2 linked regions of the Oryctolagus cuniculus genome follow. The protein of the gene in region 2 purifies or fractionates together with the protein of the main gene of each other region. This does not show direct contact. Links are inferred from orthologs where the notes say so. Each region holds a gene or a part of one and is shown on either strand. Other genes may lie near its edges.

What was found. Proteins that work in one complex are often made in the same cells at the same time.
Region 1: the proteins of UBXN6 (region 2) and ASPSCR1 purify together in Homo sapiens (affinity purification with mass spectrometry; 4 studies listed by BioGRID and IntAct, counting the BioPlex papers as one, with this or other methods). This does not show direct contact. The link is inferred for Oryctolagus cuniculus from reciprocal best matches to the Homo sapiens genes UBXN6 and ASPSCR1.

Annotation. Positions count from the first base shown.
Region 1 is NC_091448.1:964,896-969,122, reverse strand, and holds the start of ASPSCR1 (tether containing UBX domain for GLUT4), read left to right. Parts: upstream 1-1,427; 5' UTR 1,428-1,509; coding exon 1,510-1,611; intron 1,612-1,824; exon of another isoform or gene 1,825-1,987; intron 1,988-2,174; coding exon 2,175-2,230; intron 2,231-4,227. UniProt on the Homo sapiens protein: Tethering protein that sequesters GLUT4-containing vesicles in the cytoplasm in the absence of insulin. Modulates the amount of GLUT4 that is available at the cell surface. Enhances VCP methylation catalyzed by VCPKMT.
Region 2 is NC_091447.1:59,807,306-59,811,414, forward strand, and holds the start of UBXN6 (UBX domain-containing protein 6), read right to left. Parts: upstream 2,801-4,109; 5' UTR 2,691-2,800; coding exon 2,608-2,690; intron 254-2,607; coding exon 90-253; intron 1-89. UniProt on the Homo sapiens protein: May negatively regulate the ATPase activity of VCP, an ATP-driven segregase that associates with different cofactors to control a wide variety of cellular processes.

The DNA of each region.
Region 1 (4,227 bases), on a different chromosome or scaffold from region 2:
CACCCAAGCCCACGGGGCAGCCTGTGCAGAGGGGCGCAGTGGGTGGGGCCAGGTGGGGCCAGGACACGCCTTGTTTTACACCTCAGTGTTAGGGGAGGATGGATTTATATGGAAGGGAGAACACCAGAGAGAGGCAGACACCCACGCACCCACCCACCCCCACACCCCATCGGCTTCCATCTGCTGGTTCACTCCCCAAATGGCCACACAGCCTGGTCTGGGCCAAGCCAACACCGGGAGCCTGGAACTCCACCCGGTCTCCCACGGGAGCTGCGCCGGCTCCCAGCTGGGTGCCAGCGTTGCCTGCGGTGCTGCCCCTTCTCCCCCTGCTTCCGGCCTGCAGACCCCGCCTCCCCCGCGGGGCTCGGGCCTTGGGGCCGCGGGCTGAGACTTCTCGGCCGTCAGGAGCCTCCGTCTGCCCGCAAGCTCTGGGTTCAGTTTCTGGCACAGCAAATTCACTCAGCAACCTCTGGACACACAGTCTGTATTCTCTAGTGACGTGTGCGCCAGGGAGAGGAATAGCCCGGCTAAGGCACCTCCTGCGGCGCTGCATCCCACGTGGGCCCGGGTTCGAGCCCCGGCTGCTCCACTTCTGATTCAGCTCTCTGCTGTGGAAAGCAGAAGCCGGCCAAGTGCCAAGAGTCAGAGCTCACAGGCTCAGCCAGGGGGACCCCGCAGACTCCAGCCGGGCCACGGCTCAGGCCATGTGTCCTGGGGGCCGGCCAGTCGTGGGCCATTTGGCCGCCTGGACCCTTCAAGCCTGGATCCGGACTGTGGAGAGGCCCAGGCTGCTCAGCTCTGAGGACGGCCTCGGCCATGACAGGCGGTGTGGGCGGCCCCGCTGCTGTCAGTCCAGGAGCCCCAGGTGTGCCCGCCCCGCCCCCAGCACCGAATTCGGAATTCAGCCGGGTCAGGACAGGCAGCTGGCCATTAGCGGCCCGGGGGCGGGGTGTGAGGGGTCAGAACATGGACCCAGCGGCCGCGGGGTCGGGGGTCGGCACGGACCCGGCGGCCGCGGGGTCGGGGGCTGTCGCTGCTCTGGGTCTCCTGGCTCCCTCAGAAACGCCTCATTGGCCCGGGCTTGGCCAAGGGAAGCCCCCCGGGGCCGAGGAAGCGTCCCTGCCGCCGGGCTGAAGCCCAGGGCCAGCAGAGGGCCGGGGCGGTGCGGGGCCGGGGCGGGGGCCGCAGAGACAGGCGGGCGGCCGTGAGGGCCGGCACTGAGAGCCAGCCGTGCGCCTTCCGCCCGGGCCGGCGCTGGCGGCTACTCCACGAGAGTGGACGTCCGGCAGGGACACCGGGGCCCCCACGGCGCCCGTTGAGGGCACCGCGCGCCCCGCTCCTCAGAGCGCCGGCTGCGCGGGCCAGGGGCGGGGCCCGAGCGCAGGGGCGGGGCCTGGGGCCCGGAAGGGCGCGGCGGCCCCGCCCCCGCCGGCCGCGTGGCTGTGCGTCCCGGCTGTTGCCGATAAAGTTGTTTGAAGCCCGGCCGGCCGCGGGTCACGTGAGCGGAAGATGGCGGCCCCGGCAGGCGGCGGCGGCTCCGCGGTGTCGGTGCTGGCCCCGAACGGGCGGCGCCACACGGTGAAGGTGACGCCTAGCACCGTGCTACTGCAGGTGCGGCAGCCGGCCGGCGGGGCGGCCGGGCGGACGGGCGGACGGGCGAGCGAGCGGGTCCGCCGCGCCGGCCCGCCCCCCGCGGTTGGCTTCGGGCCTCGGGGCCGGGCCTCGGGCGAGCCCGTGGTGGGCGCGGCCTGAGGGGGCCAATGAGCGGGCTCTTGCCCGGGAGGCCCCGCCCACCTGGCTCGGCGGGCGCCGGGGTTTGCGCGGGGGTCGCAGGGGCGTGGCGCGCCGGCCCCACGTGCGCGGTCCCGGCGTCCCGGGCCGCTGGGGTGGCCGCGGTCCGTGCGCCCGGCGGGGGTTCTGCTGAGTCACTCGCTGCTCCGTGGCGGAGGTCGGGGCGCCGTGCGGCCGGAGCGGCACCCTGGCCCCGGTCTGGCCCCGTGGGCAGCGCTCGCGGGCACGCCCAGCGGGGATCCCAGGGTGGGAGGCAGGAAGCGTGGGCCGCGGAGCTGGCCGGCCCCGGGGCGCGCGGAGCGGGCCTCGTGGGAGGTCGGGGCGTGACGGGGCTTGGCCCTGGGCGGCCCCTGCACTGAGGTTCGCTTTGTCCTCTTCTCTAGGTCCTGGAGGACACGTGCCGGTGTCAGGACTTCAACCCCAATGAGTATGATCTGAAGTGAGTTTGGGGTTTGCCTTGGGCAGGGCGCCAGGCGTCCACGCCCCCTCCCTGGAGGAGCCGTGGGCGACTGGACCCCGCCCTGAGGTCCGCCTTTCCTCTGGCTTTGCCCCTGGCCGCAGGTCCTCCTGCGCTGTCCTCTCCTGCGGCCTTTTCCCACTCCGTGTTGCTCTCCTGCGTCTCGCGACACCTGTCGGGGTTCGAGACCCACCCGACCCACGGCGTGCAGCGTGGTCTCCGGTGGGGCCCTGGGAAATGAGAGGAAGCTCTGCCAGCCGTGGGCGGAGCCCTGTGGTCTCGCCCGTGGGCCCTCCGCAGAGGCTGTCCGGATTCCCGGTCTGAGCCCTCGTGGGGAGACGTGGGTTTCTCCCGCTCCCGCTGAGCCTTACACCTTAAAGACCCACCCCAAGGCATCACGTCCTGGCCTCGGGCCAGACTTGTCCCCGCCGTCCTGCTCCCCCAGCCTGTCGGGGGTGCCCAGGGAGAGGCTCTGCAGGGGACACTGCAGCCCAGAGCCCGCGGCGTGTGCTGTGCCACCTCTGGTCTCTGGATCTCGCGGTGCCAGGCCGCGCTGGCCTGGAGCCAGCAGCACTCACCGAGCTCGGCCGCGGGGCCCAGTGCCCGTGCTCTCGGGGTTCCTGGGCAGCAGCTGCGGTGTCCTGGACTCCGCACGCTGATGGCATTTCTAGTCGCCTTCTGGCCGTGGTGAGGGTTGGTGCTGGGTGTGCACCTGGGCCCTCAGCGGCGCAGCTCGGGAAGCCGGCAGGCGTCGGGTGGCTGCCGTGGCGTTTGCCGCATTCGGCTGTCACGGTCTCCCCCAGCTTCTTATTTTCCCATTTAGTACTTTTTTCCTTCTGTGGGTTCCCACACCCCAGAATTTCAGAGGTTGGAGCTAGTGGGGCTGGCATTCAGCCCGGGGCTGAGACACCAAGGCGCCGTGCCCGGCTCTGCGCCCGCGTCCTGCCCGCTCGCGCCCTGGGAGGCGGCGGTGGGGGCTGCAGTGGCCGGGTCCCTGCCCCCACGAGGGAGCCTGCGCCGAGGTCTCGGCCCAGCCCAGGTCTGGCCCAGCTCTGGTGTTTGGGAGCAAAGCGGCGGAGGGGGACGCTCTCTGTCCTTCCACCTCTGAAACAGAGAAAACAGCGCAGAGTTCAGTGTGACGCCAGAAACAGGAAACGGGTCTCGCCCTTCTGGGCGCTGTCTCTTTTTTCCCCAGATTTATTCATTTGTTTATTTGAGAGACAGAGAGACACAAAGAGACAGAGCTCCCATCCGCTGGTTCACTCCCCAGATGTCTTCAACAGCTGTGGCTGAGCCAGGCTGCACCCAGGAGCCAGGAGCGCCATCCGGGCCTCCCCGGCCAGCGGCAGGGGCCGGACGGGCAGCGGAGCATCCGGGGCCTGAGTGGCCCAAGGCTTCGCCTGCGGGACCACAGTGCTGCCCTGTCTGTGCACTCTGCTTGAACGGCAGGGACACAGAGGCAGAGTTTCCGTCCACAGGTTCCCTCCCCAGTGCCCGCAGCAGCCAGGGCTGGGCCAGGCCAAAGCTGGAGGCCCCGTCCTGGTCTCGGGCGCCGGGCGTGTGGGCCCCGATCCGGCCCCTGCTGCTCCCCAGGGGTGCCCACGAGTGCGGTTGGGACAAGCAGCAGGCACCCTGACACAGGACACGGTGTCCCCAGTGTCCCCCGCCGCGCCACCATCCTCCCTCCTGCCTTGGGTGCCTCCTCTCGTGTCCCTGGGAGGGCTCTGGGCCGGCCCCCCCTTTTCCCTTTTTTTTTATAAAGATTTATTTACTTATTTGAAAGAATTACACAGAGAGAGAAGGAGAGGCAGAGACAGAGAGAGGTCTTCCATCCGCTGGTTCACTCCCCAGTTGGCCGCAATGGCCGGAGCTGTGCTGATCCGAAGCCAGGAGCCAGGAGCTTCTTCCAGGTCTCCCACGCGGGTGCAGGGACCCAAGGACCTGGGCCATCTTCTGCTGCTTTCCCAGGCCACAGCAGA
Region 2 (4,109 bases):
ACACCTCCCTTGCAGGCTCGCAGGCGCTGGTCGGGAAACCCTACCCAGAGCAGGGCCCCGGCCCCGGCCCGAGGACGGCCGCGGCTCACCCTGGTTCCGGATGGAGTCCTGCGACGTGGGGCCCCGGGCCCGGGGCTGCTTCTGCTCCAGCCGCGCCAGGGCGGCGGCGGCCGCCATCTGCGCCTCATCGGTGGGTCCCTGGCGGGGCGGCCTCAGAGCCAGCTGGCTGGGTTTCTCTTTGGGGGCCTTCTCCCTGCGCAGTGACCGAGGCAGCGCGAGATCAGAGGGGAGGCTCCTGCCCCGCCCCTGCCCTGGCACGCAGACCCAGCCCTGCCGGCCCCGGGGACACCACTCCCCGCGGCCTCCCCCGCCCCCCCCCCCCCGGCTGCAGCCCTGGGCTCAGGTCGCCGCCTCCTCACGGCCCCGAGACCCTGGGGACGCCCACACCGCGAGCCCGGGTCCCAGCACCCTGGGGCAGGGGTGACGGCTCAGGCAGGGCCCCCCCGCACCCATGGGCTGAGTCCCCGGCTCATGGCTGCAAGTGGGAGCCTCCTCTCTCTGCTTTTCCAATCAGCAAAAAATATATTTAAAATGTTTATTTATTTGAAAGAGTTGGGGAGAGAGGTCTTCCATCCTCTGGTTCACTCCCCAAAAGGCCATTAATGGCTGGAGCCGCGCCAACCCAAAGCCAGGAGCCAGGAGCCGCATCCGGGTCTCCCACGCAGGTGCAGGGGCCCCAGCACTTGGCCGTCATCCACTGCTTTCCCAGGCCACAGCAAGGAGCGGGATTGGAAGTGGAGCAGCTGGGACTCGAACCAAGGCCCGTATGGGATGTGGCCCTGCAGGCCAGGGCTCTAACCCGCTGCGCCACAGCGCCGGCCCCAGAGAGCAGCCTGGGAAAGCAGCGGCAGCGGCCCACGTGCGTGGGCCCCCTGTGAGGCCCACCTGAGGCTCCCGGCTCCAGCCTGGCCGTGCTGACCACGTTGGGGGTGGGCCAGCAGAGGGACCGGCCCCTCTCTCCCTGACTCTTCCAAATAAATGAGAGATAAATCTTAAAATCTCCCTGCAAACCTTCACGGCTCTGGGAAGCCCACATGCCAGCCACGACCCCTGCTACCCGGCGGCTTCCAGTCCAGCAGGCCGGGGGGCGGCCGCAGGGGCACGTGGACACAGCCCCGCGCGGACAGGCGCTGAGCAGGCCGGCCGGGAGCCCCCCGTCCAAGCCCCGGCTCCGAGCCGCTGGGATCTGGGGGGCTCGCCTTCCTTCTCCACCGTGGGCCCCGGCAGACCCCTGGGCGACCCCTCCCCGCCCGTGGGCAGCGGCCTGGACGAGGCCTCCCCCCGGCTGGCTGCTGGCCCAAGAGGACCCCCGAGGAAGCCCCCTGGCCCTGTGGCTGCTCCATCTTCCCCCAGAGACTCAGTTCCCCGACGCCCTGGCCAGCCCTTCCCGTGGCCTTGAAGGCCCGCCCACTTGGGGTGCCTGCCTCCCCCGTCTACACTGGGCTCCCCGCTGCTCCTGTCTACACCGCCTGCCTGTTCCTCACGCGGTCCCCACTGGAGAGCCCCCACACGTCCTGTGTCTCCCGCCCAGAAAGTCCCACGGGGTGGGATGAGGCCGGGGGTCTTGGAGGCAGCAGGGAGACGCCCCTGGTCCACGCCAGCTCAAGGCCCCCCCACCCCCTTACTTCCCCTGTACGCCGCCTCTATCTGTCCTAGGCGGACCCTAGCCCCTCCCGCCAGCCCTCCCCATCCCCCGGGCCCCTCCTCTCGTGGAAACGCGGACGTGGCCCCCACTACCCCACCGCCCAACCCGCCCCCAGACTCTCCAGAAACCCACACCCTGCACGCCCCGCCCCCGCCTCAAACGCCCCGCCCCCGCGGTCATCCCCGCCCCCACGCCCCGCCCCCGCGGTCGTCCCCGCCCCCACGCCCTGCTCCGCCCCCACGCCCCGCCCCTGGGTCATCCCCACCTCCCACGCCCCGCCCCCGCGGTCGTCCCCGCCTCCCACGCCCCGCCCCCACCCCGCCCCCGCGGTCGTCCCCGCCCCACCCCCGCGGTCGTCCCCGCCCCCACGCCCCGCCTCCCACGCCCCGCCCCCGCGGTCGTCCCCGCCCCCACGCCCTGCCCCTGCCCCGCCCCCGCGGTCGTCCCCAACCCGCCCCCAGACTCTCCAGAAACCCACGCCCTGCACTCCCCGCCCCCGCCCCCGCCTCCCACGCCCCGCCCCCGTGGTCGTCCCCGCCTCCCACGCCCCACCCCCGTGGTCGTCCAAGCATCCCACGCCCCGCCCCCGCGGTCGTCCCCGCCCCCACGCCCCGCCCCCGCCCCGCCCCGCGGTCGTCCCCGCCTCCCACGCCCCGCCCCCGCCTCCCAAGCCCCGCCCCTCCCCCGCCCCTCGGGGGGTGCGCCCCCGAGCTGTCTCCCCGGCCCCATCGGCCCCGCCCACCGGAGTGTCAGCCGCATCGGCCCCGCCCCCAGGGGCGCCCCTCGGCGCCCGGCCGCCCCCTCCCAGCCCGGGCCGCACCTGCCGCCCCCTCCCCGGTCCCCAGAGGCCGCCCACCCCGCTCCCCGGTTCCCAGCCCCCTGCCCCGTTCACCGTCCCCTACCCCGCGGAGTCTGTGAGTTTCTGCCCGGGCCCCGCGCTCTTGAACTTGATGTCTGCCTTGATCTCCTGGAAGAATTTCTTCATCTTGGCGGGGGGCCCGGCGGCGGGGGGCCGCGGCGGGCGCGGGGGGGGGGGCGCACGGCCCAGGCAGGGAGGGGCTGACAGAAGCTAACAACCGGAAAGAAAATAGCGCGGAGCCGGAAGTCCCGCCTTCGCGGGCCGCCCACGTGACAATCGACCCGGGTACCTCGGAGGCGGCCGCTCTGTATTCTGAAGCCGCGTCTCGGTGGTTCTTCCGGCCTCCGTTGCCAAGGCGACGAGCGCGCTTCCCCGCGGGCCGCCGCGCTGGGAGTCCCCGGCCTGGGCCCCGGGGAGCTGACCGTGGGGCCGGCTGGGCCGCGCGGAGAAGCGGTCAGGGGCGCCCCTGGCTCCCGGGCGCTTACGTCATAAAGCCCCCATTCAAGGTCCCCCGGGACCCAGCCCCACTTTGCCCACAGTCGGCGCCCCGCGAGCCCCATGGGGCCTTGGGGGCCGCTTGGGCCGGCAAGGCAGAGAGGAGCGGGGTGTGCACCGACCGAGTGGCAAAGGGGAGCCCCCACCCCCCAAAAAAAACTCTGAGCGCGCAGGCCCTGGAGGGAGATAGGCGGGGAGGGGGCGAGGGGCCGCCCCCAGCCCCAGGACCTTTGCCTGGGGGTCAGCAGGGGGTCGAGGGGGGGGCCCTGGGGTGGGAGAGCCCCCCGCGGGCGCAGACGGAGTCAAGGCAAACTCGCCTTCCCGAACGAGGGTTCCCTGTCCACAAAACGGTGCTGGGAATAAAAGACCCCCGCCACGGAGGACCCTGGTGGGGACAGCGCGGCCGCGGGCCCGTGTGAGAGCGGCGGGTGCCTCTGTTGAATTCGCCCTGAGCAAGCTGCCGGGTCGGACCGTGGGGAAGACAGAATTGTGTGCATCGGGGAGCCCGGCAGGTTTAGGAGGGAGGCCGGGAGGGATGGGAGAGGTCTTCCACCTGCTGGGTCACTCCCCGAATGGTCGCAACAGAAGCCGGGGGCCAGGAGCTCCATCCGGGTCCCCCACGCAGGTGCAGGGCCCCAGGACCTGGGCCATCGTCCGCTGCTCTCCCAGGCCACAGCAGGGAGCTGGATCGGGAGCGGAGCGGCCGGGACACCTGCTAGGCACACCGCACCGGCCACAAGGGGGCACAATTTTCACTGTCAAAGGGACCCTTTTAAAGAATTATTTGTTGTAAGGGGCTGCACCAGGCCCAAGCCAGGCTCTAGGAACCGCACGCGGGCCCCCCAGGCAGGGGGCGGGGGCTGTCTTGAGCCACATTGGGGAGAAGCAGGACTGGAACCAGAGCCCCTACAGAGCCGGTGCTGGCTCAGGCAGCTGCACCATGGGGGCCGGCGCCGAGGCGTGCTGGGCTGGGCGCCAGTTCGAGTCCTGGCTGCTCCACTTCCGACCCAGCTCTCTGCTGTGGCCTGGGAAAGCACTGGACCATGGCCC